Linked DNA regions of Cricetulus griseus. The protein of the gene in region 2 interacts with the protein of the main gene of each other region in a pairwise test. Links are inferred from orthologs where the notes say so. Each region holds a gene or a part of one and is shown on either strand. Other genes may lie near its edges.

Region 1 (10,144 bases), on a different chromosome or scaffold from region 2:
TTTGCCAGAGCCAAGAACCTGTGTAAATGCTGCGGTGTCCTTGTCCACCAGCGGGGACTTAGGAAACTGTTTCCAGAGCTCAGCCTCTTTATCTGTCCAATGGATGTGAGCGTACCTTTGTCAGTGTTTGCAATAGTTTGAAACATATTTTAAAATGTAAAATAAGCCGCAGGTGGCAGTGCAATCTGTAAATTCCAGCAAGGGGATTGCAATGAGATTGAAGTCAGACTGGGCTATAGGAGACCCTGTCTCAAACTGGGTGATGATGCTAAGGAACATAGCAAGCCAGGCAGTGGGGCACACACCTTTCATCCTAGCACTCGTGAGTCTGCAGCAGGGAGGATCTTTGTGAGTTCAAGGCCAGCCTGGTCTACAGAGCTAGTGCCAGGACAGTCAGAACTACACAGAGACATCCTGTCTCAAAACAAAACAAAAACAAAAAGAGCATGGTGGAACTTTTCAGTGAGCAGGTAATTAAGGAATCTCAAGGGCATTCTGATTCCTTAAGTGTTGACAACTGTCCCCAAATCTGTCACATAGTCTTTGCTTTCTTTCTTTTTTCTTTTTGGTTTTTCAAGACAGGGTTTCTCTGTGTAGCTTTGGCTGTCCTGGAACTCGATTTGTAGATCAGGCTGGTCCTGAACTCAGAGATCTGCCTGCCTCTGCTTCCCAAGTGCTGGGATTAAAATTGAACACCACTACTGCCCGATTACATATCCTTTTTTTACATGAACCTTATGACCCCACAAGGACGTGGCATCCTCTCTATTATGCAAATGGGGCAACTGAGGGGAAATTACTGGACAAAACCTCATGGCTAGTTAGTGATTGTGCCAATTGACCATAGGGCTAGGTGACAGGCTGTGCAGTACACTTTGTGACCTTCCAACACAAAGCTGTTCCTATGACTATGTGGCAATCCCCCTCCTCACAAGGAAAAGGAACTCTGAAGGACCCAGTGCTTGGGCTGGTTGGGAAAGTACCTGGCTTCCTTCCTCAGATGAGCCAAACACGGCAGGCATCATTAAGCTTGTACTGCCCCAGGCAGGCAGAGTTTCTCCTGAGAGCCCAGGCTTGGGACAACACTTACTTTGTCTGAGTGCAGAATTGTCTTCCTTGTTTTTCAGTGTTGGGGATGAGTCTCGAACATGCTAAGATGCTCTTTGCCACTGAGCCACACCTCCAGCCATGTAAGAATCTTTGTGTATGTGTATATGTGGTGCATGTATACATATGTGAAAAACAGGTCACTCTCCACTAAGATTTTGTTTTGTTTGTTTGAGACAGGGTCTCTTTTATGTAGCCCTGGAACTCCAATCATAGAGCAGACTGGGTGCTGGATTAGAGATTAAAGGCATATACCACCACACCTGGCTCCATTTTGTTTTGTTTTTCTAGATGGGGTTTCTCTGTGTTCTAGAACTAGCGCTGTAGACCAGGCTTGCCTCTGCTTCCCGAGTGCTTGGGATAAGAGGTGTGCACCACCACCTCCGGGCTTTCCACTTTCAGTTTTGAGATAGTCTCTACTGAATCCGGAGTTCAGCGATTGGCTCTGGATCGCCCGGCCATAGCTCATGTCCTCGTTTCCACCTCCCAGTGATGGGGTTATAAAGATATGACTGCCCAGGGGGATGAGAGCTCAGGTCAGCACTTTACCCGTGGAGCCATTTCCAGCCCTGAAACTATCTTCAGGTCAATTTCTGAATGTGGATGGAGTAGAGACAGGAAAGTCAACTTTCTTTATTTTCCTGGACTAGACTATGGCTCACAGTTGCAGGGAAGGTTGTCACCAACTGAGAGACATGTTAAAGAACTCACTCCATCACCCAGTAGTGCCCCCAAACAAAGAGCTTTACTGGGGCTAAAGTAATTTGGTTTTCCCCAAATTACTTTAAATTTGATAATCCCAGGGAAAACATTAACAGATTTTTGTTGTTGTCGTAAGGCATAAGATTAAATAAAAACTCCAGGACTGGGGATGGTGCTCAGTGGCAGAGTGCTTGTTTAGCATGTTCCAGGCCATGGCTTTAATTCCCCTTTGCTTCCCATCTAAAGTATTGGGGAACAAATAGTATAATGAATAAACATGGAAGCTCAGAGAAAGCTGACTTTGGAAACAGGCTGAATGTCCATCAGTAAGAGGAAAGCAATAAATTGTGGGAATACAACACCAAACTATGTAATGGCATTCTTGCACGTATATTTAGATGTGTGCCCATGCATGTGCTTGAGGAGGCCAGAGATCTAGTTAGATGTCATCCTCTATTGTTCTCCATCTTGTTTTTTGAGACAGGGTTTCACTCTGATCCTGGAACTTACTAATTCACTAAACTGAGGTGTGCCACCATGCCTAGCTCTTATGTGGATGCCAGGGATCCAATCTCAGGCTCTCATGCTTGAGCAGAGGCTCTTTACCAACTGAGCCATCTCCCAGACTCTGTAACTGTTTCAAATATTTTAAGGAAGTTATATATTTACACAGAACAAATTCCAAGGTACAGTGGGAAAAAAACAGATATAAAAGTGGGTATATGTAGCCGGGCGTTGGTGGCACACGTCTTTAATCCCAGCACTCAGGAGGCAGAGGCAGGCAGATCTCTGTGAGTTCGAGGCCAGCCTGGTCTCCAGAGCGAGTGCCAGGATAGGCTCCAAAGCTACACACAGAGAAACCCTGTCTCGGGGGGAAAAAAAAAAAAAAAGTGGGTATATGTCACTATATTCACTAAAACAATGAAAAAAACAAAACTCAAAACTGTTGTTTCCTATGTCAGCTATATGCTGCTGTGGGAGGAAAGTTCCCTTAAGCATACATGATTTAAATAATTTTTCCACTTGCATGTGCCAGGAATCCAAGCACAGCTCTGCTGGCATTTTTAGCTCAGGTCCTTATGAGGCTAGGCTGTCATGTGGAGCTGTGGACCCGTCTAAAGGTTCAACCAGTGCAGGGAGGACATTTCCAAGCTCCTTCACATGGTGTTGTCCAGCACAGAACTCTCCCATGTCTCTCTACTAGGTGGAAATACGAAGTTTTGGCTGACGTCCCCAAAAGTGGGAGATGTAAGACAGAGCAAGGGGCAGCAGCCAAGACAGAAGTGTGCTCTTTATAGTCTATTCCCAGAAGTGACTCTCACTATTCTACCCATTAGCAGCGGAGCTACAGAGAGGCCCCCATCAAAAGGCAAGGAGTACACAAGGCCATGAATATTAGAGGTGGGGTCACCAGGGACCACTTCAGAGAATACCCACCATTCCAGAGACACCAGAGCACTTAGCAATGGCTGTCTGCAATGAAGAGAAGTGGGCAGATGGGGGAAAATTTTTCACTAAATATATCTGTGTACATTTTACACTTTAGGTTATGTGTACCTTATTCAACAAGTAAATCATATTTATTTTATCCAAAATAATGAAAAGGTTGTCATTTTAGGGACTGGAGAGCTGTCTCAGTGGTTTAGGGCACTTGCTGTTCTAGCAGAAGACTCAGGTTCAGTTCCCAGCACCCACATGGCAGCTTACAACCATCTATAGCTTTAGTTCTAGGAGATCCAAAGCCCTCCTCTGGCCTCCACAGGCATCAGGAACTTAAATGCATTCTTAGTAAAAGAAAAAAAGAGAAAAGATAGCATTTTTAGTAGAAAAACTAAGAGTGAAGAAAACAGCCAGGCTGTGATGGTGCACGCCTTTAATCTAAGCACTCAGGAGGCAGAAGCAGGTGGATCTCTGTGAATTTGAAGCCAGCCTGGTCTACAGAGTGAGTTCCAGGACAGATTCCAAAGCTACAGAGAAACCCTGAAACCCTGTGGGAAAAACAAAAAACAAATAAACAAAAGAGTGAAGAAAAAAAGAACAATTCTATTTAAGTAAGTTATTACCAAACACCATTAAGTATCTGTTTCAAACAAAACTAAACAAAGCCACTTTCTTTTTAAATGTATCCATCCTCTGTATTAAGTCCTGTTCATGGCAGCCTTGACTTCTACCAGCTGGGATCCCAAGGCAAGTGGCCACTGCACAGAGGGTGAGTATGGCTCTGATCAATGACTCAAGGCTGCTTCTCAGCTTATTTCCTGTTACTGTGTATGATGGCCAATCTTGGCTGTCAACTTGACCACAGCTGGAATCAACTAAAACCCAAAACCCACGCAACTGGGCATGTCTGTGAGGGATTTTCTTGACTGGATCATTAGGGGTGGGAAGACCCACCCTAAATCTGGATCATTTGAGGTGGGAAGACCCATCCCAAGTCTGGACCACATAAAAGCACATGGAAGAAGAAAGCTTTTGCATTAGGCTTGCCTGCCCTCCCTCTCACTCCAATATCCCCCTCCCTCCCTCTCTTCCCCCCCATATATATGTATGTATTCTATCAGTTCTGTTCCTTTAGAGAACCCTAAAACACAGACAAGTGCAACTGAAGGGAGAAAGGGTTTATTAGGCTCATAATTTGAGGGTACAGTCCATCATTGCAGAAACATCAAGGCTGCAAGCACTTGGAGCAGCTGGTCACATGACACCCATGGTAAAGAACAATGGATTAATGCATGTCTGCTAGTGCTCAGCCTGCTCTCTCATTCCATCTAGGGCCCAGCCATGAAATGACACCACATTCAGGATGGCTCTTTTCACCACAATTAAGAAAATTCTGCAGGCTTGCCTGCAGGCCACCCAAATCTACAACATTCCTTGTTGAGACTCCCTCCCCAGGTCAAACAATCAATCACAACTAACAATCAATGGCATATGCCAACTAATCAGCTGGCATATTTGCCTACCTGAGCAGTCACTCCAAACCCAGAAGAATATAGCCAATGAGAGGTCACAACCCTGGATCTGAGTAGTAGTATCACTCTTCTCAGTTAACTTCTTTCTTTCCCGCTTTTCTTTTTCCTTTTTTTTTCCTTTTTTTTTTTTTTTTTTTTTTTTTTTGAGACAGCACCTCAGTATGTAGTCTTGGTTAGTCTGGAGGCTATGTAGACCAGGATGATCTCAAAATCACAGAGCTCACCTGTATTTGCCTCACCAGTGGTGGGTTTGATATTCCCAGCACTAAGTTACTTTTTTTTTTTTAACTTTATTTAACTTATTTCTTTTATGTGCATTGGTGTGAAGGTGTCAGATCCCCTGGAGCTGGTGTTACAGACAGTTGTGAGCTGCCATGTGGGTCCTCAAAAGCAGCCAGTGTTCTTAATTGCTGAGCCATCTCTCCAGCCCCCCTCAGTTACTTTTAACAGCAACAGGGGACCTCTCCAGGACAAAGCATTCAGAACCGCTCACGCTGCACCATCTCCCCCTGGTGGCTGGCTTTGGAAATGGAAATTGGCTTGATTCCTACTGGGAAGGGATAAACATTTTAAATGCTCCCTTTCCTTCAATCCGTCCCTTTTTTGGATTGAATCGGGCTTCATGTGTGCAACACACACACTGCTACTGCCCTTCACTCCTAGACCCACTCCTATCTTTAAACCACTAAGGACTCAAGATAGTGATACACACATAACCAAGACCTGAGTCAACCAAAGTGCTTCAGCTGACGCAGAGGCGGAGGCAGCTGTGGACCTTTGCCTCCTGTCCTTTCCTTCCTTGCCACTTCAAGCCTACTGATAGCGATGGACACCGCTTATCAGCGCTGCCTTTCCTGTTTCCTCCACCCCATCCACCTCCCAGAGCCGCAGGTGCAGTGGTCATGGATCCTTGGCCATGGCCTAGCAAGAAGTCATGCTAGGGACCTCTACCATAGGAACTGGTGTCTCAGTCCATCAGGCTGTGGTGCTGAGGTTCACTTAGAAAGCTGAGGGCTGCACTCAACTGCGGGACTCCTGATCTCCAGACACTGTGCAGCATCCTGGCTCCTCCAGGAAGAAGGAGACGCTCACCAGGATATCTAGAACAGGAAGAGGGGTACAAGACAGGGTTATTAAGGCCCCAAAGCACAGCAGGGTTGTCTCTAACACCTCCAAAGAGGCAAGCAGCAACAGGGATAGGGAGGCAGCATGGGGAACTAATGGAAACCAGTACCTGGCACAAGGGTTTGGCACTCATCTTCTGAAATTTGGTTCCAGGCCTTAGGCAGTGCTTGGATGCTGGCCAAGTCTCCCCAGTGGATGGAGGAAAGGAGGTATTTTCTCTTCAGGTACCTTCCCAGAAGTTAAGGACTGTTCAAAAAAAGGAAATCTGGGAAGCTAAAAGTGACATCAATATACCTTCCCAGGTGGGCAGGGTTCACCAGTGCCAAGAGGAATGATGAGCACCAGTACCGCAGTACAACTTGATGCTACTAGGAAAGGGACTCGGATCTCACAGGCTGAGGGTGGACCAGACAGAAGAGCAAAGTGACTTGAAAGATAAAACTCAGTGACAGGGGACTGGAGTGATGGCTCAGTGGTTAAAAGCATCGACTGCTCTAACAGAGAACACAAGTTCCCAGCACCCACATGGCAGCTAACAGCTATCTGTAACTTCAAGATCTGAGACATACATGGTTATTAAGACATACATGCCGGCAAAATACACAGACATACATGCAGGCAAAACACCAATGCACATAAAATAAAAGTAAATACATTATTAAAAAAATAACAAAACAAAACAACTCAGTGGCAGTTCTAGTCAGCTGTAGAGGCCCACGCCTTTAATCCCAGCACTATTTAGAGAAATCAAAATGGTAACAAACACAAAAACAAAAGTCTGGCAGTTCAGATGAACACACCACTGGAAGAAACAGAGAAACAAAGGCACAGGGCAGAGGAAGCATGGAGTGGACTGGCACTGCAAGCCTCCCAGTGTCCTGACACGGTTGGCTAAAGTAGAAAGTAGTTGAAAGGTGGCTTCAGCCAGTATAAAGGCAGCAGTGGAGGACAAGGTAGGGATTCTGAGCCCTACCCCACCAGCAACAGAAGAGCTGACAACTCCTGGTTGAACACAACTAGACCTAGACCTCATGAAGATGACTGTGGTACATAACCACAGACAGCTCAGAGAGAGAATCTGGAGATAGAGGAAAGTCAGGAGGGGATACAGGATTAAGCATCCATGCCAGGGGCTGCCAAGATGGTTCACTGGGTGAAGGTGCTTGCTGCCAAATCCAATGAACTAAATGGGAGCCATATGGTGGAAGGAGAGAACCCATTCTGTTAAGTTATCCTCTGACCTCCTCATGAATGCTAAGCATAAGCCTTGGCCACACTATTCTGCTTAAAATCTTCTGAGAACATTCATCTCAAAAGAACAGCCAAAACCCAGCTGGGCGTTGGTGGCGCAAGCCTTTAATCCCAGCATTTGGGAGGCAGAGGCAGGTGGATCTCTGAGTTCGAGGCCAGCCTGGTCTCCAGAACGAGTGCCAGGATAGGCTCAAAAGCTACACAGAAACCCTGTCTCGAAAAACCAAAACAAACAAAACAAACAAACAAACAAAAAATCCTTCTCAAAAAACCAAGGTCCCATGTCACTATCCTCATGCCCTGCCCTCATTACACAGACCTCATGGCTATGTCCAAAATATACCAGGCATGCTCCCGCACAGGCCTTTTCACTCCATGTACCTTCTGCCTGGACCATTCTTCTCCCAAATATCCACATGGCTCATTCCTTCACTCTTTCAAAACTTTGCTCAAATGTCATACCCATCGCTGCCTCATGGGTGCCTGTTTGACACTATTAAAATCACAACCCCAAGCTGGGTGGTGGTGGTATACACCTTTAACCCTGACACTCTGGAGACAGAGGCCAGGACAGCCAGGACTACACAGAGAAACCCTGTCTCGAGAAAAAAAAACCCACAGCCCACCCTTCCTACCTTGTCTCCCTGCTTTGTTCTTAGCACTCACCACATCTGACAGCACACATTCCCCTTCTCATGCCTGCCTCTCAGCACTCACAGCAGTGCCTAGCAGCTAAACTGTAAGGAGTGACTATTAAAATACACAAACAAATGCAGGAAGAACCCAAGTTTGAGCTCTAAAGAGAACTGCAGCAAACTGTACAGCCTGCTGATCTTGTGAGATGTGAACCAGCAAAGGCTGCTGGAGCAGCTCTGAGCAGTCTGGATGCACTCAAGGATATGAGCTTCGATAATGTCTGTCGATGTCTTGCAGCCACTCCAACATGTCAGCCACAGAGGGGCTCACAACTGAGGGCTGCAGGACAGCATCCATGTCAAGTGCAGCCGAATGCTGCTCGTAGGTCTGAAACACCCGCTCCACATGGCTGCTGATGGTGTCTCGAACCTTGAGGAGGGTGGCTCTGTGGGAAAAGTGGAATTTTGGACAGTATCTCAAAAAAAGGGAGGAGGTAAGGCTCCTTTCACCACTACTGACATTTGGAGGTTTTGTTTCAGAGGGCATTCAAACCCTCAGACACTCCTGGGAAGCGGTCTACCACTGAGCTACACCCCAGTCCCACTTTGCAAATTCTTTTTAATTACATATGGTGGGAAGGGGCACACATGCCACAGCACTTGTGTGTGAAGGTCAGGGGGCTACTTTGTGGTGTCCATTCTGTCCTTCCATCTTTCTGTGGGTTCTGGAGATTGAACCATCTGGGGACTGAGCCATCTTGACTACCCTTTTTTAATCCAGTTCTTGAATGACAGCGTAGATGGGGTGCAGACTGCTGGGGAAAGTGAGTTAATCCTTATATAAAGGCTCCTTTGCTCACTGTGTCTCCCAAGAACAGGAGCACACACACAGCACACACAGTCAGTGTAGCAGTGAATGAGAAAGAGAAATAATGATGATGTGTAGAAAGTGCTTTTGTACCCGTGATGGTGGTGGCGGCGCACGCCTTTAACCCCAGCACTCAGGAGGCAGAAGCAGGTGCATCTCTGTGAGTTTGAGGCCACCCTGGTCTACAGAGCGAATTCCAGGACAGCCACGGATACACAGAGAAACCCTGTCTTGGGGTTAAAAAAAAAAAAGAAGAAGAAGAAGGAAAAGTGATTTTGGTAGTGCCTAGGTATTCTTCTTCTTTTTCTTTCTTTCTTTTTTTTTTTGGAGGAGGGTTTCAGTCAGGGTGCTGGGATTAAAGGCATGCACCACTGGCTGCTTAGGTATTATAACTCTAAGGAACCAAGACAAGGGCTGTAACTTTCCAAAGGCCAAAGAATCCCCTAGCCCCGAATTGGGGCTCTAAAATGTCCAACTGTGTAAAAACAGGAAACAATCCAAAACCTGCCAAGTTTTGAGTCTAGCTTAAAGACTGTGATGAACAGTAATAAAACAAACAGTAAACAAAGTATCAGCGCAACACCTGTGTTACTGTTTGGTGGGCTGTTTCAGTTACACATGTATCCACCTATGTGTAGAACAAAGCCTGGTAGAAAGCCACAGCTAATGTGGTAAACACACTTCAGAATCCCCACTCTATCCCTCACTGGCTATGTGATCAGACATCTATTTGACTTTCCGTTTTTGTGCTTCCAGGTGTATGAACAGGGTTAAGCCAGAGGTGTATAAGGTAACATACACAAAGCCCTTATTTCTAGCACTTACCAACCCTACAGCATACTAAAGACAACTACAGAAAACTACATTTTCTCCAGTCCCCTTCTTTTCTGCTTTTGTAATTACTTTTGTTTATTTAGTTGGTTTGGGGTTATTTTTTTCATTCGTTTTTTTTTTTATGAGACAGGGTTTCTCTGAGTCCTGCCTGCTTCTGCCTCCTGACTACCCTCAGTTTAAAGACATGCGCCACCACACTCGACCTGATATTTTGTTTGTATGTTTGTTTTTGAGACAAGGTCTTATAACATAGCCCAGGCTGGCCTCAAACTCACAGTCCTTCAACCTTACTCCCCCGAATGACCAGCTTGCTTTTGTAACTTTTGTAGGCCCACCCTGATTGGGGATGGGATGTCATGAAGCTTTAAGATCTTTCTACCAAGAAAGCGGGCCACAGAGTCTCTTACAGCCTCTCAGCTAGCTTGTCCAGGACAATGTCGCCAGCCTCCAGTTGCTTGCGCCTCAGCCGCTCCTGTAAGTCTGGGAAGGGACGAAGGGCCGGCACGTCCTCAAACCTCAGATTCTGTGAAGCCTGCAGCTGCTCAGCCAGGTTGCTGAGAGAGGAGAGGAGGGACGAGCAGCCCTGAAGAGTGCTTTGCCACAAGTCCTGCTGCTCCTGCACCACAGGGAAGCACTTCCTCAGGACCTCT
Region 2 (11,115 bases):
CCTTCTAAAGCCAGTCAGCCCTGGGTGCCATAGCAGGCAGTGGATAATGGAACCACAAGCTGTTTTCTGGACTTGAAGGAAGGGAACAAATTCCTGCCCTTTAGATCCTCTGACTAGAAAGACACAGACTGGCCTCTGCAGCAGGCACCAGTGGCGTCTGGGAGGCTGCTCCTGGGCCCTACTTTAGATGGGTGCTTGGAAAAGACAAAAAGAAGGGAAACCCAACCCCAGCCTCCAGTGGCCAAGGTCTCTTATCACTGGGTGGAGCCCTGGTGGCCCTGGGACAAGGGGCAGGACAAGAAAGAGGACAGATACATAGCTGTCCCTGGATCTGGATCTGGATCTGGATCTGGAGGAGGCTGTCTAGGGTCTCAAGTTCATGTCAGGTGGCCAGACTGGTTGAACCACCTCCAGCTGTGGGGCAGAATACCATACAGCTGGGACCCCACTCCATCCTGCACCAGCTCAGCCAGGTGTCCTGCACCAACTCAGCCAGGTGTCCTGTACCAGCTCAGCCAGGTGTCCTGCCAGGTGTGCAGCCAGGTGTGCTGATGGTGGGGCTGACCTCCTTTACCTGTGTTTTCTACATTCATGGTGCCACCAGCTTCTGGGGCCTCCCGGTCCCGCTTGGGGGCCGGCGCCTGCCTCTTCAGGAGCTTGTCTTCTTTCGTCCCCTGACTCTTGCTCTTGCACCCCTTGTCCTGCAGGGCCTGCTGCCAAGACACAACCAGAATCCTCTCATGAAGGGTACTGTGCTGAGGAGGGACCCTCGCTGGGGATGATGAGCACTCTGGTCCCCGGCCCAGCAGCTTGTCTCCACCGTGGACAAAGAAGCCTGCCTGGGATCTGAGGAAGCCAGACTAACATCCCACAGGAAGATGGCCATGGTTTATTCTTGGGCCCCACAGTAGCCAGTCTCTCTACCAGTAAAAAAAAAGATTAGAAGATTCTATGGTCCCCTAGTGAAGCTGGTGCTATCCCTGCAGGCTCTGTGGGGCACGGGTCATCGGCATGTGAGCAACTGGCTCACACCAAGCCTCATCATCACAGGCAACTATCCAGTCCTGCAATATACACATCATGTCGTGTATAGAAGGCAACTCCTCTGTAGTGTCATTTGCTGCAACACCTTGGCAGTCGGCCTTCCACCTAAGGATGGCCCTCCCAGGACTCAGAGGCTGCACATGAGTCCATCTGACCAGGAAAATGACTACCCTGCCTCCTTCAGGCTCTGTCCCATGAGGCTATCCAGGGGCAATGTGAACCCATGTGCTGGTCAGGAACTGAGGCAAAGGTAGCTGGGCTGGAGCGGACAAGTGGGGGAGTGGGAAAGGGGTGCTTCATTCAAAGACATCCTCTGTAGCCCCCAGAGAATGACACCGAGCAAGGGTCAGAACAGTGTGGGAAAGCGTGATCCCATTTGAGGGTCATACACAAGATAAAGGTGAAAATGAAACTGGAGATCTCACAGGCTCCGTGTGTGCTCAGTGTGGGGTGTACATACACAGAGACTCACTGAGATAGAAACAAAAGCAATTTAAACTTGGAGAACACAGGAGAAAAGGCAAGGTGATGAGCAGACAGGGTCTTCCTGGTCATTCTGGAGACATCTGGGGTTTGAAGTTTTCACCTTATAAACACAGTTGGGTTTGGTTTATGTCCACGGAAACATCTGGTAAGAAGCTTTTATGTCTTTGTGCCCTCTCAAGTCAAGTATGACTCTTTTATATACACAGGGTCTCACTCTGTAGCCCTGGCTGCCTGGATCTTACAGAGATCTATCTGCCTCTGCCTCTGCCTCCTCACTACTGGGATTTAAGGTTTCTGCCAACACTCTAGGCCAGGTGCCACATACATTTCTTTAATGCTCAGGGTAGTAGGGAAGCCAAAGCCCAATGAGACAGCATGTCACCTGTGTGCTGGGTGGCTGTGGACAAATTCTGCACCCTCCCTCAGTTTCCTTCCACAGTCTCAATCTAGAACCACTAACCTCTGCCCACTTGTGCCAGTGGGCAAACCAATGGCAGCCACAAGTAAAGCACATTTAAGGTGCCTGGCCTACAAGAAGTGCCACATAGATAGCAGTGGTGAGTTTATAATTTCTCTAGTCTCCACTTACTTGAGCATCAAAAGGCCAATCAAGAGAATTGCAAGAGTGAAAAGTGGCCGGGGCAGGTGCCTGGTTAGCCACGACCTTAGCCTCTTTCCCCCTCATCTTCGTATTTAGGAAAATTCTACTTAGTTAAATTTTGTCCCCACCCTTCAACTGTCACACCATCTTGAGCAGGTTGGAGGAGGTGGGGGAGGCAGGGATGGCAGCAGCTGGAAGTTTCCATTTGCCTTCAGACAGGAGCAAAGTTTACACTATTTCTGGGCTGCTGGCCGAAGCACAGGAAGGACAGATGTCCCCAGGGGCTGGGAATTTCTGTACTGCCTCTGGGGGTACAGCTCAGGCTTTAGCTGATGGACCAAGGCTGGAGTGACTGACTCTGTGACCTGCAGGTCGCTTCACTGTGCTTGGGACACACTTTGTTACATATCCATATCCATAAACATGGCAGAGTTCGGCAGGGGCCGGAAGGACATGAACTTGGAAGCCAGAGGCTATCAGCTTCTGAGTGGAATGTGAGCAGAACTGCTGAGCCCAGGCCTCCATAGCAGCCACAGCCCAGCACCCCATAATCAAAGCTCAAGAACAGGGCCACCACCCAGCTGAGCTGCAGCTCCTCACCACAGCCTCCCGATTTAACTTCCCTCTGGTTTCTTTAACTGTTGTCTCACCAGACCCTCTGGGACCTCACAAAGGACAAAAGTATGGGCAGCTCAGCTCCCAGAAGAATCTCACAAGAATAAAGAAACACGGTGAAACACAGGCTGTGGCTGAGGTGCCATCGCCCTTGGGGTCCTGCCCAGAGCAGTGGCCCAGGGCTGCAGCAGCCAGAGGAAGGACAGCTCAAAGGTGTATGTTCCCCCAGTGCCCATCCTGACTACCATCTATCTGCACTTGCTTCATCCCGGCTATGCACAGCGGCCACTTAGGAGGGCAGGATATGTGCATGAGGCCAAAGAAGCTGGGAGAAAAGCCAGGCATGGTGGCTTATGCCTCCTACCACAGCATGTGGGAACATGAGGCAGCAGTATCTGCCATTGGGTTCCACACCAGCCAAGGCTACACAGGGAATCCCTGTCTAACAAATATAAAGAAAGAAGCCAGAGGGATTTTGAGTCCTCTCTCAGGGAAATCTGGGCAACACCCCCAGATAACACTGGCACTTCATTCTCTAAAGTTTTGTTCCTGGTATTCCCATTGGTGCTTATGCATTTGAGGTCACTGGTGACTCTCTGGTGGGCTATCTTCCCTATTTCCCTTCTCATCATCCCTGCACCTGTGCTAGATGCATTGGCATAAGGCAGCCAATCCATAAATATCTGTTCAGCAAATGCACATATTAAAATACTAATGCAGGAGGACTGAAGAGACCACTTAGCAGGTAAGGGCATTGGCTGTTCTTCCAGAGGACTCAGGTTCAATTCCCAGTACCCACATGGTGGCTCACGACCATCAGTAACTCCAGTCTGAGAAGATCCAATACACTCTTCAGGCCTCCACAGGCAGCAGATGTACATGTGGTACACAGACATATATGCAGCCAAACACGCATATAAAAATAAAAATAAAAACAAATCTTAAAAAAATACACTAATGTAGCCTGTACTATACAGGCTATATAGCACCATCAGAGGAAGCCACCTCAGCTGAGAAAATGCCTCTTTAAGATCCATCTGCAAGGCATTTTCTCAATAGCCCATGTTGGATGAGGCTGTCCCTGGGCTGCTGGTCCTATAAGAAGGTGGGCTGATCAAGCCATGAGAAGCAAGCTAGTAAGCAGCTGCCCTACAAGGCCTCTGCATCAGCTCCCGTTTCCAGGATCTTGCCCTGTGTGAGTTCCTGTCCTGACTTCCTTCAGTGATGAACAGTGATGCTGAAGTGTAAACAAATAAACCCTTTCTTCCCCAACTTGCTTTTGGGCCATGGTTTTGTTGCAGCAATAGAAACCCTAAGTAAGACATGGGTGCTAGAGAGATGGCTCAGCCCTTGCTGCTGTTGTAGAGAACCCAGGTTCTGTTCCCCGCACCTGTATGGGAATTCATGTTGGTAACTAGTTCTAGGCCTGAGTGTCTGCAGATCTGAAGATCTATAGAGAACCTAGATTTGGTTCCTAGCACCCAAAAGGTAGTGACAGGGATCTATTCCTTCTGGCATCCTCAGGCAGCAGGTACCAGGTATGCACATGGTGCATACACATATATGTAGGCAAACAGTCAAACATAAAAATAAATCTAAAAGCAAACAAATGCCATACCAAACTAATACAGCTGGGCATGGTGGCACATGCCTTTAATTCCAGCACTTAGGAGACTGAGTTGGTAGATCTCTATGAGTTTAAGGCTAGATGGGGTTAAATAATGAGATCCTATTTCAAAACAAAGCAAATAACAAACTAATGTGGGCCAGCCAGATGGCTCAATGGACAAAGGCACTTGATGCCCTGAGTTCCCATCCCCAGAAACCTACACAGTGGAAGGAGAGCCAACTCCCACAAGTTGTCCTCTAACTCCACAGGCCCCTTCTGCTGCACCCACACCCATGTACCCTCACCCACTCCCACAAACACACACAAAATGAGTGCAAAATACTAATGTCATAACTACTTGAACATCAGAATTGCTCACTGTAATCAGAGATAACACCCAGGGCAGATACAGAGGATTTGACCATCACCAGCATCGTCATTCATTCGGTGGTGATGGGAAGAACCGAAGGCCTCTTCATGCATCCAAACCAGACCAGCGCTCTGATGCTAAACCATACATACACACAGCCCAATTAAAGTTTATGGTAAAGTCTCAAGTAGAATGTTATGCAGTAGACAGAGAAGGGAAGTGGTTCTCTATGACTGATGTGTATAAAGAAGTCTCCAAGATGACTGTGAGGGAAACAGCACGTCATAGAACATGTCAAAGGAAATACAGAAACCATATGATTGGTGGTGGTACAAGGAAGAAAACTGTGAAGATGAACCTTTCATAGTGGACACATTGAAGGACATGAGGGGCATACAGCTTCTAGGAATTGTACTGTGAATTCTTCGAATTCTTTACACCATTTGGGTGTTTTGGGGTCGAGGTGAGACAGAGTTTCTCTGTGTAGCCCTGGCTGTCCTGGAATTTGCTCTGTAGATCAAGCTGGACTCAAACTCAGAGATCCACCTGCCTCTACCTCCCAAGTGCTGGTATTAAAGGCTTGCACCATCACCACCCTTTACACCTCTTTACACCGTTCTAATCAAGCTAATTGTGCTCTACTAGTAGTTCAGATCTCAGCCTACTGTGTGGCCAGCAGCAAGTTAGTTAACCTCTCTGAGCGTGAGCCTCCACGTCCTCATCTATAAAATCCATACAAAACTGTTGTTTTGAAATGGTTTTTACTCTTTTGGCCTTTTGCCTTTTGAGGGGGCCCTCCACCCAGCTCCCAAACAAGTCACACAGGGAGCCTTATTCTTACTTATGAACGCCTGGCCTCAGCGTGGCTTGTTGCTCGTCAGCTTTTCTTAAATTATCCTGTCTACCTGATCCCTCTGGGCTTTTATCTTTCTAACTCCATGGCTGGCTGGGCAGCTGTCCCCTGATGTCCTCTCGTTGTTCTGTCCTTCCTCCTCTTCCTCAGGTCTCCTTCTATTTTTATTCTTTGCCTGCCAGCCCCACCTATCCTTGCTCCTGCCTCGATATTGGCTGTTCAGCTCTATATTAGGACCACCAGGTGTTTTAGACAGGCAAAGAATCACAGCTTCACAGAATTAAAAAAATGCAGCATAAACAAAAGTCACACACCTTAAAATAATATTCTACCAACACAAAACAGTATCTTTCTGTTGAGACATGAGATCTAATGCCTATGTTCCAAAACAGCATTGAATAAAACCCACTAACCCTTTGTATTATTTCTGCAATCAAAGCCTTCCCCCATACATATAGTAAGTATGCCTTTTGAAAGTCAATGACAACTACAGAGGAAAAGAATCTCCCCATCCCCCCACCATCTTCCATTGGACTCTTTTTTCCCCCCTTTTGTGAGACAGTCTCTCTGTATCCCTGCCTGCTCTTAAACTTGCTTTGTAGACCAGGCTGGGCTCAAGCTCACAGAAAAGTTCTGCCTGCCTCTGCCTCCTTTAGGATTAAAGGCATGCACCATGCCCACCCTGGCGTTCCCTTGGATTTTTCAAACAAGGGAACACAGGCATTGCCTACATAGAAATAAACAGCTCCCCCAAACCAGCCTGCTTTCCCAATATCTCTTCCAGCTCCACACATCTTAGCAAAGGCCTCACTTCCCACATCAGCCAGGGTGTGGCTGAAAAGCTCCTGTCACCTCCTGAGATCGTCCATGAGATAAGCTGAGATGGAACCTGCTGCATTCATGCAGGCTCTCAGCTGTGACAGGCTAGCCAACAGGTGCCTGGCAGGTCCCCAGCTCTTCTCCCTACCAGACCTAACTGCTGGAGCTCAGAGGAGCCAGCACCCTGGCCACACTCACCCTCGCCCTACATCTGATGGCCCACACTTACCTGGACTGTCAGGTAGAGTCTATGCGGACTCCTAGGGCCAGGCCAGTCCACACTGAGGGCCCGACACTGTGCCAAGGACGGGCGAGCTGCAGTTCGGGTGCTCGAGTCTTCCTCACCACCAGTCAGGGTGTCTTTTCCACGCCCTGTTCCAGGACAGACGGGCAGGTGAAATGACATACTTGGCTGCTGGCTGAAGACCACTGGCCAAAGTGAGCTGAGCTCAGCTTTGCCCCCTCCAACCTGTCCAGGTGTGGCCAGCAGGGCCTCATGTGGCCTCACAGGCTCTCTCCACACAGGAGCACAGGTAGGGACAGGATGGGGCCATCTGATTCTCTTACCAAAAGGGGCCCTGAAATTCTTTCCTGAAGATAAGACCCTACTGGGAGCTCCCCAGTTGCCACAGTGGCTTTTGGGGTCCACACTTGTTCATCAGCTCCTCTACAGAGGCAAGAAGAAGACACTGAGTGGACTGTACATGGGGACACAGCTATATTACCCAGGCTGCCTCTAGGTGGCAATTTCTCTCTTGCCTTCATTAAGACCAAACCCACAATGGGTCTCTGCTGTACCCAGAAACAGCTAACTGCATCCTCTAGAGCCTCTATTGGGATAGGACACCCCCCACCCACCCTTGCAAAAGGTGGGAAACAGTACTGGCCTAACTGTCAAAATGCACAGCCACAGGCTGGAGAGATGGCTCAGCCACAGAGCACATACTGCTCTTTGCGAAGGACTGGAGTTTTCCAGCACCCACACTGGGTGGTTCACAATGGCCTATAGGTCCAGCTCCAAGGGATCTAATACTCCTGAACTCTGTAGGTACCTACATCATATGCATTTATCTACACACAGATAAATACACATAACATAATTGAACTAAAATAATAAATTCTAAAATCAATAAATGGAAGTTTTTTCCACCAGGTACATGCTTTTAATCCTAGCACTCAGAAGGCAGAGACAGGCAGATTTCTGTAAAGCTAGCCTGGTCTACAAAGCAAGTTCCAGGCAGTCAAAGTAAGACCCTGCATTAAAAAAAGGGGGGGCATAACCCATGTTGAGGATCAATGAGGACTAAGGCACAGCAAGGACCCACAGCTATCAGCCATTAGGATATCCATTGCTATCACAACCACCCAGAGAGGTGGAGGACACCCCCCCCCCTTGTCCAACAGGCAGAAAACTGAGACCCTGAATAGTTAACAATATGCCTAGTGTCACCCAGGGCTTCTATTCAGACCCCATGTGCCAATCAACCCTGGTTGACCATCCCTCTCAGGATGACAATAAGACTAGTGGGGGATATATGGAGAGGGCTGGGGTGCACTTGTTGACTAAGACTGACTGTGCCTGTCTGTAACACATGGGTTTCACCAGACCTTTAGCTAAGTTTATAGCAGCCAGAAATTTCTAAAATCACTGTACTCATTTCATTCATACACACACACACACAGAGAGAGAGAGAGAGAGAGTGAGAGAGAGAGAGAGAGACAGACAGAGAGAGAGAGAGAGAGAGAGAGAGAGAGAGAGAGAGAGAGAGATGAACTTAGTGAGTTTTCCAAGGTGAAATGTTCTGTTTTGTTTTACCAGAAAAACCATACTCATCTTTATTACACTCACACCCAGGGGACAACCTTGTAGAGACCATCCTTGGCCCCTTTCAAACGAGCAACTCTGACTGACCCACAGAGCCCCTGCTCTGCCAGAAGGCTCCCTGGCAGAGGAGCCAGGGGGTGGCCAGCCCGGGGCAATCATAGAAGCTTGCAGAGCTTCAAAGCACTGCCTGCCATAGTGAATGTGTTACAGTTAGAAACGGAGACGAAAGGAATTTGTTACTGGCCTTCTCTGAGCCTCAGTGTATCCCCTCTTCTGTGTACTAAGGGGATCACACCCCATGGTCTCATGGCCCAGAGGACCAGGCTGGTACATCTGAACACTTCTCCAGGTAGGTCAGGAGCAAAAAGGTAGCACGCCCCTGAAGGCAGCTCTTCTGGATAACCCTGCCTTCCCACACCACCAGGGCACCCTGCCTACCTGCCCACACAGAGCTGGGGAAAGGGTCAAAGCAGCTCCTCACCCCCACATTCAGCCCCTACACAGAGCAGAGAAGCCGCTGGCTCCTTGACAGTCTCAGCACTTGGGACATGACCCAGAAAGCTGACTGCTGACAGTTCCCTAGGGTACAGCAGTGGCCCAGGCTCCAGGACCCTCTCCATATAGACCTGCTCATAGGATGGCTTTGAAAGCCTCTTTGGCTGTCGGACACCTAAAACCCAGGGCCTAGCATCCAAAGTCTGCTGGGTAATACTCTGAGCAGCCTGCGTTCACTCCTCACCCCTGACCAGGGCAGCCTGACAGAATCAGGTGTCGGGTGCTGAGCAGGGCACCCAGGAGGTCAGCCGCTTCACCTACCTTGTTTACCGGCCTCCAGCTGACATTAGAGAGCACCCAAGTGAGATCTCAGAGTCCCTGACCTGGTTTGGCTGGCGGGAACGTCGCTGATGCCGCCGTGCTATGGACTGTTAAAGTTTAACCCGCCCCAGCCTTCTCCTCCTCCCAGGCTGGACGCAGGGAAGGAGCACCCGGTGACGCTGTTGCTGCGCTGTGCTCCACGCCCAGCCGGCTCTGAGCTGCTGGCTACCCTGTAATTACCTGACAGCTCTGACTGAGTTTAGGAACCGCGAGAAACCTCAGTCTCATCTCTGGGATCTGGAGGAAGGAAGGGAAATGAAGAGGCATTCTAAAAATGCGGACTCACCAGTTCTCAACCTCCCCTGGCCGGTGTGTGGGAAAGGGCGGGCGGCTGGGCTGGCTGGGGCGGGGCGAGCCATCCCAGGCTTGGGCTCCTGGACCCGGCCCACTCTCCACAGGCCTCGCAGTGAAGGCGTGGCTCCCAAGTTCCACGTCCTGCGAGAGGGGACCATGGCCCGGGGCTCAGCAACCTCTTCTGGGTGCCGGGCAGCCTGTGGGGAGAACAAGGGGAAAGGAGTTTAAGAAGAGTGGGTAGGTAGCCCACATGTTGTGCTATCTGGAAGGGTCTGCAAACAAGGGTCCCCAGCAACCTAGGATAGCAGCCCCAAGTGTAGCAACCCTAAGGACCCTGGGATCACAGGAGGGTGCTCGGAACTGATTATGGCATTTCTGAGTGGGCCAGGAGCGAGTCAATGTGTCTGCCACTCACTGTGAAGACCTGCGAGGGGGCACACTGGCTAACAGCTCCACGTGGAGGAAGCTCCAAGCCTATGCTTTCAAGCAGTGGTAAGTTTAATCCTTTTCCTCCGTGACATCTCATTTTCTAATTGCACTCAGCTGGTTGCTTAAGTCTCAGCCTTCGGGCTGCCAGTGGCTCAACAGCTAAAACTCCTGAGTATTAGTATCTCACTGAGGAGGGGCTCAGAAGGGGCTGGCTTAGGGCCAGGGGCAAGCTGGGTTTACATTCAGTAAATTCTCAGAGCCAGTTCATTCACACATTCAAGTACTGAGGGTGTGGCAGGCACCCTGCCAGGCATCCATTCAGTTCTGTTTCATATCATTTATTGAGTGCCTACTATGTGCTGGATTCTAGCAGAAGTCATCTGATTAGGAGAAATGAGTCCTCAAATGTCCAGTCAGAAGAGAACAAACCTTCAATAAATCTTCACGGCGTTAGGTAAAGGATTATTGAAGTGGTGGTGCAAGCCTTTAATCCCAGCACTCCAGAGGCACTGATCTCTATGAGTTCAAGGCCAGCCTGGTCCACATAGCAAGTTCCAGGCCAGCCAGGGCTACCTAGTGAAACCCTATCTCAAGAACAAAGGAATTTACACAGTACAAACAGGTTACAGGGAGGTTAGAGAAGTGTGCTAGGAAAGCCGGTCCAGGGCAGGAAGTGAACAAATGGATAGAGCTCAAGTATAAATTTTTGGACTTGGAGTTTTTGTTTTGGGTTTGGTTATTTGAGGCAGGGTCTCACTATATAGTCCAGGCAATCCTTGAATCACCATCTTCCTCACTCATAAGTCTTTCTTGAGTATCTACTGTGTGCAGAGTAGCCTCAAGAACATTTGAGCTGGCCAGACTTTGATTCAGGCTTCAATGCCAGTTGTAGAGGCAAACTCAGCTTAAAGAGGCATCGTGGAGTTGTACACCCAAGGGACATCCTACAGAGCTACCTGGATTGTGGACCACTTTCAGTTTCCTCATCCCTCACTGCACTGACCATCTCCTGCCAGGCAGCAAGAACATGTGTTGAACTGGGTCTGTCTCTCTCACCCTCTCTGGCTCCCTGCGAGTGAGAGGCATGCATGCATGCATGTGCGCACGCGCGCGCGCGCGCGCGCACACGCACACACACACACACCCCAAAGCCAGGAAAGGAGGACCGGCTAGCCACTAAGACTCAGAACTAAAGGCCACGACTGCTACAGGTAAGGACGAAATCAGCAAGGTTGACCAAGATGGGAGACAGTATTAAGTAAGGACAAGGCTGGGGTGAAGAGGGCGTGGAGGG
Region 3 (11,215 bases), about 92 Mb from region 2:
GTTGCTCTTGCAAAATACCCACGTTCTGTTCCCAGCATCCACATGATGGCACACAACAATGGATATCAAGTTCCAGGTGATCCAGTCCCCTCTTTTGGCCTCTGTGGACAATGCATGTTGAAGATGAAATACTCATACACATTAAATAAATCTTTAACTGGGTATGGTGGCACACATCTTTAATCCCAGCACTCAGGAGACAGAGACAGGTGGATCTCTGAGTCTGAGACCACCCTGGTCTACATATGGTGTCCCAGGACAGCCAGGGCTACAAATAACAAAAACCAAGTCTTTAAAACAAAACTAAACTAAACAAAAAAAAACCCAACCCCAATAAATAAATACTTCCATTCAAGAACTAGACAAGGCTGGACATTGGTGGCGCACGCCTTTAATCCCAGCACTTGGGAGGCAGAGGCAGGCGCATCTCTTTGAGTTCGAGACGAGCCTGGTCTACAAGAGCTAGTTCCAGGGCAGCCTCCAAAGCCACAGAGAAACTCTGTCTCGAAAAACAAAAAAAAGAACTAGACAACTTTAGAGAAAAACATGCCACCTCCCCTGCCAAATCTGGAAAAATTCTATGAAAGAAATTCCATTTTCCCTTTCAGTTATAAAAAATATAAATATCTAAATATAGCCATTAAATTGACCTATACATATGAAAATCAGACCCTAGAGTATAAATTGGTTCAAATTCATGAGTAGCATTTCATTTGGTGGGGAACAGTTCAGATGGATAGAAATATGGAACAGAAGGGACAAATCATTCAAGGCACTTGTCAAGAAACATGGTTATAAATTTGTAGTCAAGAAACATGGTTATAAATTTGTTTGGCAAACTTCCACTAAAAGTAAAATAAGATATTCAAAGAAAATATTTGCAATCTTCAACTGCAAAAGTATGCTTCCTAAGTACTAATGCTCTTTAACAAACAGGCAAAGGAGAATACAAATGGCTAACAGCAGGAATATTCAACTCTTCCAGCAGTGGCACACACCTTTGGAGGCAGAGGCCAGCAGAGAGAGGCCAGCCTGGTCTACAGAGCAAATTCCAGGCCAGACAGGGCTATGTGAGGTGGCCCTGTCTCAAAAGCAAACAACAAAAAAGCACAAATTAAACCAAAACCAAAGAATATACAACTTTATCAAGTTGTATAAGACAAATGTAAATATAAGCTTTTAAGAAAACACCATCTTCCTATTAGATTAATAGTAAAGTTTATTGGACAGCCTCAGCAACATCATGACACCCTTTCTCAGAAAATTAAAAGCTTATTGGCATGGGTTTGAGACACCAGGCATCCTAATATGGAGTTACCCGAAGTATGACAGTTCAGTGATGCCAAAGTGCTCTCATCTTTTCACTTTCACTTTGATGTTCAAATGTATCCATTACATTTTTAGTAATTGTAGAAGAGAAACCATCTCCTCATAGAGGCTGTGACACTATAGCTGTCATTAAGATACAGTATTTACAATAGTTTTGTTTTTAAATGTGGGGTAACAAACATTGCTGTGCTAGTGTATGCCTATCTGGGAAGAATATAAAGGAATATACATATACATATACATATATATATATATATATATATATATTATGTTTATGTACACACACACACACACACACACACATATATATATTATATACGTAGGCTGATTTTTGGGAAGAGCTGGGTTGGTAGTCAGGAAAGCTGTAAGTAGCAGTACATACTTGTAATCCCAGCACTTGAAAGACTAAAGCAGGAAGATCACCAGCAGCGTGAGGTCAGTCTGGACTACAAACAAGACTTTTCCATAAAAGGTTAGTTGGCGACTACCTGCCTATCGAACATGAGTCCTGGGTTCGATCCCCATTACGGCATAGGCCAGACAGGATAACACCAGCAACTTGGGAAATGGAGTTTGAAGTTCAAGGTCATCATCAGCTACATGGGACCATCTCAAAAACAAACCTGGAGGCTGGGTGTGGATAGTCAGATCCTAGTACATGACAGGTAGAAGTGCTGCAAGCTCAAGGCCAGTTTGGTCTACAGTGAGTTTTAGGTTAGCCACAGCTATATAGTAAAATCCCATTTCAAACCAAAACAAAAAATGGAATTAAATTTTTATTTTACATTTTGTTTATGAGTGTATATGTAGGGGCATGTAAGTGCCACCAGTGTGGAGATCAGAATACAACTTATGGCAGGCACTTGGTTCTCTTCCACCATGTGGATTCTGGGGATTGAACTCAGTTCCTTTATCCATGCCACTAGTACAAAACTTTTAAGAATTAATTCAAAAACACATCTAATTTAGAATCAATAATCATAATATTTGACTAATGTTATTGTGTGTGTTGATATATTTGTGGACCAGACATTGACATCAAATGTCTTCCTCTATCATCACTCTTCTATGAAAAGACAGTATTTTCACACGCAAGCACAGGTGTACAGGTATGTGTGCAGGTGCTCAAGGCCAGAAGCATTACAATCACCAGGAGCTGGAGTTACAGGCAGTACTGGGAACTAACCTGGGTTCCCTGCAAGAGCAATGTACTTTTTTTTTTTTTTTTTCTAGACAGGGTTTCTCTGTGGCTTTGGAGGCTGTCCTGGAACTAGCTCTTGTAGACCAGGCTGGTCTCGAACTCACAGAGATCCGTCTGCCACTGCCTCCCAAGTGCTGGGATTAAAGGCATGCGCCACCACCGCCCGGCTGAGCAGTGTACTCTTAACCATTGAACCATTGAGATATTGCTGTAGCGCTTGCTCTCATTTTTTGAGTTTTGAAGTTGGAACTTACCGATTGGTTAGAGCCAGTGAGTCCTTGAGATCTGCTGGTGTCTGCCTCCATACCCATAATAGCATGGGTGCTATTGCATGTACATGCACCATGCTCGTACCTTTTACTCGGGTGCTGTGGCATGAACTCTGGTCTTTACACAAGCACTTTACTCAACTGAGCCTTTGTCCCAGCCCAATAGTCAAACATCGAAAAGTTTTTAACTATGATTAACTGATTGGATGCTTTAACAACCAAATAGTTAAATGCTATGAATTCAGAACTAAGCCAGACACTTCTGAAATAGTGGGAAATGTTTTCTTTTTTTAAGATTGTATTTATTATGTATACAGTGTTTGGCCCACATATATGCCTACACACCAGAAGAGGGCACAAGATCTCATTACTGATGGTTGTGAGCCACCATGTGGTTGCTAGGAAGTGAATTTAGGACCTCTGGAAGAGTAGCCAGTGCTCTTAACCTGTGAGCCACCTCTCCAGTCCCTGGAAAATGTTTTCAATCATAATATTTAGCAACATGGACAGAATTTATATTAAGTTATACAATCCCAAGGGTTTCTTGCTTAAAAGTAAATAAGGAGAAATTATTTTCAAATTCCCTAGAGCTATCTATTGGGGAAAAGCCAGTTGTTTCAACTGTAAAATGGCATTAAGCTTAAAACAGGCAGTAATTTATTTGTTCACATTCATAGATAGCTTTATTTGGCTTTTAGAAAAATATATACAACAATCAGAACCATGGTTCTCTTAAATATTTTTAAATTAAAAGTGTACAAGTGAGAAGAGTGTTTCCACAGTCAGAACATCAATACCGTGTAATGCAGTAGACAGGAACTTCTGCAAGTCTAGGAATGTTAAGAACTGAGTAGGAGCAGCTTGTGCTGCCAAGTGGTCAGCGCAGATCACACCTTAACATTTCTCCTTTAGTTTCTATTTGAAAACAGAATACTACATATAGATTTGAGTAAAACAGCTGAATGCTCGGCATATACCAATAGGCATTAATCAAAACAAAACTTGCCATTTCAACTGGCATTCATTTGAATTTGGAAATATTAGGATTACCTGTCAGTCATCGTTCAACTGGTAGCAGATGCAACAAAACTTAGGGGTTTAAGGAGCTTGTTAATGTCATATTTCCAATTAGATTTCAGCTTTCTCAACATTCTTTGGAATGGGTGTTTCTGAAAAGCATTTTAGTTAATTAAGCAGACCATGGAGTTCCAAGTAGTTTGAGAAGCTGAGTATGGAAGCAATAGGAACAGCCTTAGTCTTGTTCCAATTCTGTCTTTTGCCCCACACTGTTGGTGCTTTAGCCTACCCCAGCTACATGGATCCCCCTCCACTGGTTCTAGGGCTTTTCCTGGAGGTCAACCTAATCAATGCACCAACCAGAGGCCAGTCTATCATGAGACTTCCTAGGGACCCTAGAGTCAACATTATCAGCCATCTCTCTTCCCGCTTTTGCCAATTAAGCAAAGCAATGAGACAAGTATCTTTAGCAACATGAAGCTTTGGAAATTGCGCTTATGTGTCTGAATGGGAGGGGATGAGAGAAAACCAGCAGATCATAACTGGAGGTATCATTAAGAGTAAGGAGAGAGAGATGGGTATTTTGTTCTCTGTTCATCTATTTCCTGCTTTGTTTTCTTGATGCAACTAAATATCTCCTTAAATAGTGCTTTGTATTCTGGAGGTGTAGTGGTGGGGGAACTGATGGGCTCTGGGGTAACAGGAGTGGGTTCCCAGCCACTGGCTCCAGCCTCAGACTGGGTTACCAGTCCTGTCAGGTCCCTGGCCGGCAGCTTAGAGGTCTGCACAGCCTTGTGTGACAGTGAGTCCTGCTCCTGCTGGCACTTCTTCAGTAGTTCTTCATACTTCACTTTCAGGGCACTGTACTGAGTGTCCACTTCATGCAGAAGGGAGATACCCCTCTGCTTCACAGCCTTAGCTCTCCTGATGCAAGTCTCTTCATGGCCCTTCACGATATCACCCCCTAACATGCTGCTAAGCATCGTCTCACTGCTGCTGCGCTTGAGTGGTTTTTTATGTGCTTCTGGAGCAGCTAGGAACATCTCTTCCAGCAGGCTCTGGCTGGGCTCCTTGAAAGGAACAAACAGAGAGTCGGGTACCAGCTTCTCAACACCATTCACAAAAGGATGCTCTGACTGCAGCATCTGCCGCATCTCAGCCACCTCTGCCTCCAACTCCAGTGCTCGGGCTCGGTAGGCATCTGTGGCACCCAGCTGCTGCTCTAGTTCACAGTTCTCCTTCAGTACCACCTTATACTCTGCCTCCACGCTCACTCGCTTCTTCCTCTCTAGGCTCAGCTGTGCCTGCAACATTGTCACTGTCTTTTTCAGGTGCTCATTTTCTTCTTCATCAGGGCTTTGTTGGCTTTGCAAGGAAGTGATCTTCTCAGCAAACACGTGGTCATATACAAAGTGTCTATGAGGAAATATGGAAATAATTAAATGTCAATTGATGGTACAAAGGAAGTTGCTGGGGTTTTTAAACTAAATCTTTTTAAAGAGCTGTGACACCAATTTTTAGCTCATTCAATGCTACAAGCAGTGGCTAAAATTAAACTATATGAGGCTGGAAAATTCTTGAAAGCAAATAACAATTTTGTGACTGATCCCCACCCCCTGAATAGTAAAAGTAGTTTAGAAAACTCACTTGTAAACCAGCAGAATGACAGCTGCTTACAAGAAATGTGATGGACAAGAAGAGTCTCATCTCTAGTTGCAGATCACAAACAGCTGGGTAGTTTTAAAAACCTGGAGCTCACACCATTCATTCTGACCTTGTTGGTTTGCTACTTGGATCTACATGGTTTTAAATGTTTGTTCTCCATAATGTGTGGCCAAGGTTAAGAAACATGATGTTTAGACTTTTAACTAGGGATACACATCAGCAGCACTGGGACAGCTTTAGGTTCATGCCAAGAAATTCTGACCTGAGAGTTAGTATCTGCTCTTGGAAAACATCCACAGTGCCAGGTACACACATGCAATGTCAGCACTTGGAAGATGGAGGCAGGGGGATCAGGAGTTTGAGGCCAGCTGGGCTGTATGAGATCTTATCTCAAAAGCCTCAAATCTCTATAAGTAGTGTGACAAAAAGTAAAGGGGGAGAAACATTAACTGGCCTCTCCTATCCCATCTTAGGCAGCTTGAGTGCAATTTTTTGGTTGTGGAGCATCTGACTTCTTGAAAGGTCATGTCTACTTTGGCCATCATTCCTGATGACTGGCACATCAACTGCAGTGTTAACAGGTGTTTAGTAAGTATTTATTAAAGACTCAAATTCATAACTACAAATTATAAGGGCACTTTTTTTAGGTGAAAATACTTTTTTGCCTCAATTTTTGTTCTACCAAAATTTGTCTTCTTTTCTTTTGAGACAAGGTCTCTTCTCCATAGTCCTGGCTGTCCTAGAACTTGCTATGTTTTGGCCTCAAACTCATAGAGTCTGCCCATGCTTCCTAAGTTTTGGGATTAGAGGCATGCACCATCACACCCAGCTTCCAAAATTTTCATTTTTTTCTTTCAGTCTAATGTGAAATATATCCCCCAAATCTATACTGTAGCAGAAGTATTACTAATTTTAAACTAATATTTAACAGATTAAAATGAAAAGAATTATAGATGCCAATAAACTTTCACTGTTACATTTAAGTTCAGTGGCTTTGTTTAAACTACTAATGGCTTAACAGGCAAGGGGCACTTCTTGAAATGGAGCTTTTCATCTATGGTAATCCAGAGTGTATCAATGACATGGGATATTCCCAGCTTGAAAATCCACAACAAGGCAGGCTCTTACTGGCGGAGGTCATACAGCTCTTTCAGACAGGAGAAGCTGGGTGCTGGTTTCTCCCGGTCACATGTCTTCTGCCTCCCTCTTCCTTGGTTGGAAGACTTCAGCTCCTCCACTTGGCTTTGGAGGTGATCAATGTTTGTTTGCAGGCATTCAATTGTTTCCGTCAGGCTGTGAATAAGACACAAGCTGGTTGCTGCTTGTCACATTAAATTAAGATCAAAACCAATGAAGGGGGATTAGGTGTGAGCCACTCAAACTTGCCTTTCTTAATTGAAAAGGACTTAAAATTAATCCCCATTCCCCTAAAATAATGAACCTTTGTCCAATACTGCCCAAACCCTCAACAGCACATTCTACTTCAAATTAGTTGCTAAATAACTCCTTTGTAGATTGCCCTCAGTAACAGAAATTTTACCTTATGATTTTTTGTTGTGAGGCTTTGCTCTCAGCAACTAGCTTCTGGTTGGTTTCTTCCAGTTCTCTTGCTGTGACATCTAACTGCTCATAAACTTTTGCATGCTGCTCATTCATTTGCCGTAGAAGCTCTACCTGTTTGGTCAGATACTGAAAAAGAAGAATATCAAGGTGATGCAAACAGATAAGATAGCCTGCATGCTTCAATACTGATTCTCTGGCTCTCCCATACCACCTAATGCCAGGTGAGGGCTTAGAGCTTCCACCTGTGGGCTAAGCACTCTCCCAGCATGGTGATGTGTTTGCCAGCACAGAAGCTTCCATAGCCTTGATGGTCTGCCTGCCTGCTTCTGGCTAGCCACTGCAACCCTCTAATAATGTGGTCATTCCTCATCCTATTATTTATTACTCAGGATAACAGGGGTTTTAGAAGAGTTTTATACCAGGAATGAGGGACAAAGACCAAATGTGAACTTTATATTATACCACAGTATCACTGGGTTTTTTAGTGGAAAAGAGAATTTTAAATCCCAATAAAAACCACTTTTTAAATAAGAAACAGGCACAAGCTATCCTTGATGTGTTTAGCTCCATTAATGCTTTATAATACTCCAATATTAATGAAGTTTGTTTAATTTTACAAAATATATGCTTAATATTCAAAAAGCAAACCCAAGCCAGGTGGTGTTGGCATACGCTTTAGTTCCAGCACTCGGGAGGCAGAGACAGGTGGATCTCTGTAAGTTCGAGGCCAGCCTGTTCTACAAGAGCTAGTTCCAGGACAGCCTCCAAAGACACAGAGAAACCCTGTCTCAAAAAACAAACAAACAAACAAACAAACAAACAAACAAAACCCAAAGTGAAGTTTGATAATCCCACAAGAAGAAAATCTTGGGAAAAACACAATGAAAGTTTAAATAAAATGTTTAATAGGCACTGGAGAGATGGATTGGCGGTTAAGAGAACTTGTTCATGCAGAGGACATGGGTTCAGTTTCCAGCATCCACTCAGCAGCTTACCACCACCCAGGGGACCTGGTCCTTCTACTTCTGCAGCATCAGGCGTATACACATACTCAAGCATAAGATTCATACAGATAAAAATAACAAATCTTTAAAGAACAGAAAAGGTTTAAAAAAATGTTTAACCAAAAGAAAAAGTTTAATGTGGAAGAAAATGTTGATGATTTTCACTTGCAAAATAAAATAAAAATCTTTTTTTCCTGAGTGAGGCATTTCAGAAACAAACCAGTGAAAAATGCATTAATTTTACCAGGTACACTTTGATATCATAACGTCATTATTTTGGCCTATAAGAATGCCATCTCCACTATCCTAGTCACAAGACACTTACCAGGTTATTTATTTTGGTCCTGCTAAGACTGCTTTCTGAAGACCAAGGATAAGGGGAATAAGCACAATCTTAATGCCAGAGTTAGGTCACCTGGATTTCCTCCCTAGCCAGTTCCACCCAACACACTGTAAAGTGTAGCATATATTCCAAACAGAACATTCCTGCTGCTATTCTCTGGATACAACCAGAAAAGGAAAAAAAAATGAGGTTTTAAGTATAATCACACGGTGGCAGACTTGACTTTAAAAACACTTCTTGAGGTATTTTACATCAGGGCCAAGTGACTTTTTTTTTTCTTCCCCGAGACAGGGTTTCTCTGTGTAGCCCTGCCTGTCCTGGAATTCACTCTGTAGATCAGGCTAGCCTTGAATTAAGAGATCCACCTGATTCTGCCTCCCGGGTTCTGGGATTAAAGGTGTGCACTGACATGCTACCACCATGACCTTTGCTTTTTGAGACAAAGTCTGTCATAATATCTCCAGCCAGGCCAGCTCTGACCTTTGGTGGTCCGGACTTGCCTCCTAGTGCTGGGAGTACAACTGTGTACCACTATGACAGGCTTCAACAGTCTTCTTTCAAAACACAGAACTCAATGATACTCAGTGATATGACATGGTCCCTTTTCAGATGCTTACATAACATATATACAGAATAAACAACTCCTCTTTATCTTCAACTTTCTCACGGGAATCTCCCAAAGCCAAAAGTGTTCTGAAAAATTCTTTGAATTAACACCACCATCACCATTCCCAAACAAACCATAGAATTTATAACTTATGCTTTATTAACACTCCTGTGAGGTCTGGGCAGGACTCTGTAATTAAGCATTGATACTTCCACATCAAAAAGTATAAAGATTACAAACAGCCTCGGATTGGTTAATGATTTGCTAGCAAATAAATTGATGTAAATTTAAGGGATAAGATCTCAGTAGAACTTCTGGGGTTCTGAAGTGGTATAGGGTTGTAGATGTTAATAACTGCTAGAATTAACATGATTAAATGAGCTAAGTTAACACGAAGCATGGTATCTATAGAGTGCATTTCTTCTTCACTGCCCATACTTCTGTAAGTTTCTCTTGGTCCTTTGGAAAACAACTACTCAACTTGTGACAAGAAGTCTTTTCAGATCTGTAGGAGAAAGCTCTTGGTTCTGCTCCTGGCTAGCAATGACACAGCAGTTTCCCGTCATCCACAGGAATGTGTTTAATTTCTTAGGAATACTCTACTGGGTAAAGAGGGCTTAGGGTCAAAAGAATATATATGACAGGGGTGGTAAGATGGCTCCGTGGCAAGGGCACTTGCTGCCATGCCTGATGACCAGATTTCAATCCCCAGAACTCATAGGTAGGAGAGTACTGACTCTGTAAGTTGCCCTCCGACCTCCACATTAGCTGTATGCCATAATCTCGCCTTATTAGCTATATATATATATCTCCAAAAACCCATCTCCTTCATTCAGGTGTACAAAATAAACACTTAAGGTCCAGGTTGCTGCTACATTTGGTGCCTTCCACCAATAGAAATCAAGTATTTTCATATCATACTGTAGGGTTTGCAGCACTGTTGATGTTTTACTTACATATGTCACTATTTGAAATTATGATAAGTTTCCAGATTGCCACAAGATCTTGTTACTTGCTATATAAGCTTTATTAGTATATCATGAATTTGTTTCTACAATATTTAATGGCTATTTAAGTATGATATTCATTTATAATTCAATGTTTAGTTGAGATGGGTAAACCGTCAATCCTCCCGCCTCAGCCCTTAAATGCTGAGATCTGATACTGAACCACCACATTTGGTGCTGTAATCCAATGCATTTGAAAGGGCTCACAATAGACCTTGACAGACAGCCAACAGGATCTGCGGCACAAACACGGGCCAGGCACTTGAGTTATACATAAGCTCTTTGCAAGCTGTTTCAGAACACATGCTCCAGGGAGTGGAGATGTTCATCTGCTGCTCTTGCACAGGACCCACCTGCAGTTCCCAGCACCCATGTGGTGCATCACAACTGTCTGTAAGACCAGTTCCAGGGTCTCTGACACTCTCTCCTGACTTCTGCAGGCACCAGGCACCACGTGGAACACAGATACACTTGCAGGCAAAGCATCCATAAACATGAAATGCATTTGTCAGAGTACTTGCTCTTGTCTACAGCAGCCCTTAGAGGACCCTCATTCCTCTCGAGACAACACAGCAATCTACTCAACTGCTTGACTGTTACTGTCCCTCTCTTTCTGGGATACTGTTCTCTATCTAGTCCATAGATATTTCTTACATATTTATTAGCTAAATATCAATTTCTGGACCTCTGTTCACAACAGCTGTGTTCAGTACCACAATTCAGAGTACAAAGGTCAAGAAAGGTCTAATTTGAAAGCTTCTGTGATGGGGTTGGCTGCAGACCTCCTGGGAAAAGCCTATTAACCACTAATTCCCATTTAGACTCTCTATTCTCATGACCCCAACATCATACTCAGAAACCTAAAGGGGAGATATTTATTATACATACCACATATTGCACAGAACCCAAGTTAAGCTGATTAAAAACAAACAAACAAACAAACAAAAAAACAAAACAAAACCAAAACTGTCAATTTAGGCTTGTGGCCAACATACAGGAAATAAATCAACATGTAAATAAGTACAAAGAGACGACGAAAAACCTACAGAAAGTGCCTCTTGTTCACTATATAAAAATCTGTGATAAAAACACAATGAAGCCATTGAAGAACTTGTGATATCTTAGCTTTAGAGGACTTGGCTTTGAGGATAACCCAAGAATGCCAACGAGCTTGTTTTCACATGGTAGGAGTTTAATTATATTAAGCCAC

Evidence for each region.
Region 1: the proteins of Kifc3 (region 2) and CUNH1orf109 interact in binary tests that used the Homo sapiens proteins (3 or more experiments, as listed by UniProt). The two-hybrid records come from large-scale screens. The link is inferred for Cricetulus griseus from reciprocal best matches to the Homo sapiens genes KIFC3 and AIRIM.
Region 3: the proteins of Kifc3 (region 2) and Cdr2 interact in binary tests that used the Homo sapiens proteins (3 or more experiments, as listed by UniProt). The two-hybrid records come from large-scale screens. The link is inferred for Cricetulus griseus from reciprocal best matches to the Homo sapiens genes KIFC3 and CDR2.

The regions. Positions count from the first base shown.
Region 1 is NC_048595.1:28,107,883-28,118,026, forward strand, and holds the end of CUNH1orf109 (uncharacterized protein C1orf109 homolog), read right to left. Parts: coding exon 9,902-10,144; intron 8,239-9,901; coding exon 8,059-8,238; intron 6,135-8,058; coding exon 6,016-6,134; intron 5,882-6,015; coding exon 5,802-5,881; 3' UTR 4,413-5,801; downstream 1-4,412. UniProt on the Homo sapiens protein: Part of the 55LCC heterohexameric ATPase complex which is chromatin-associated and promotes replisome proteostasis to maintain replication fork progression and genome stability.
Region 2 is NC_048596.1:171,330,860-171,341,974, forward strand, and holds part of Kifc3 (kinesin-like protein KIFC3), read right to left. Parts: intron 9,590-11,115; 5' UTR 9,551-9,589; coding exon 9,385-9,550; intron 6,770-9,384; coding exon 6,627-6,769; intron 714-6,626; coding exon 575-713; intron 1-574. UniProt on the Homo sapiens protein: Minus-end microtubule-dependent motor protein. Involved in apically targeted transport. Required for zonula adherens maintenance.
Region 3 is NC_048596.1:79,696,543-79,707,757, reverse strand, and holds the end of Cdr2 (cerebellar degeneration-related protein 2), read right to left. Parts: intron 7,171-11,215; coding exon 7,022-7,170; intron 6,775-7,021; coding exon 6,610-6,774; intron 5,233-6,609; coding exon 4,371-5,232; 3' UTR 3,456-4,370; downstream 1-3,455.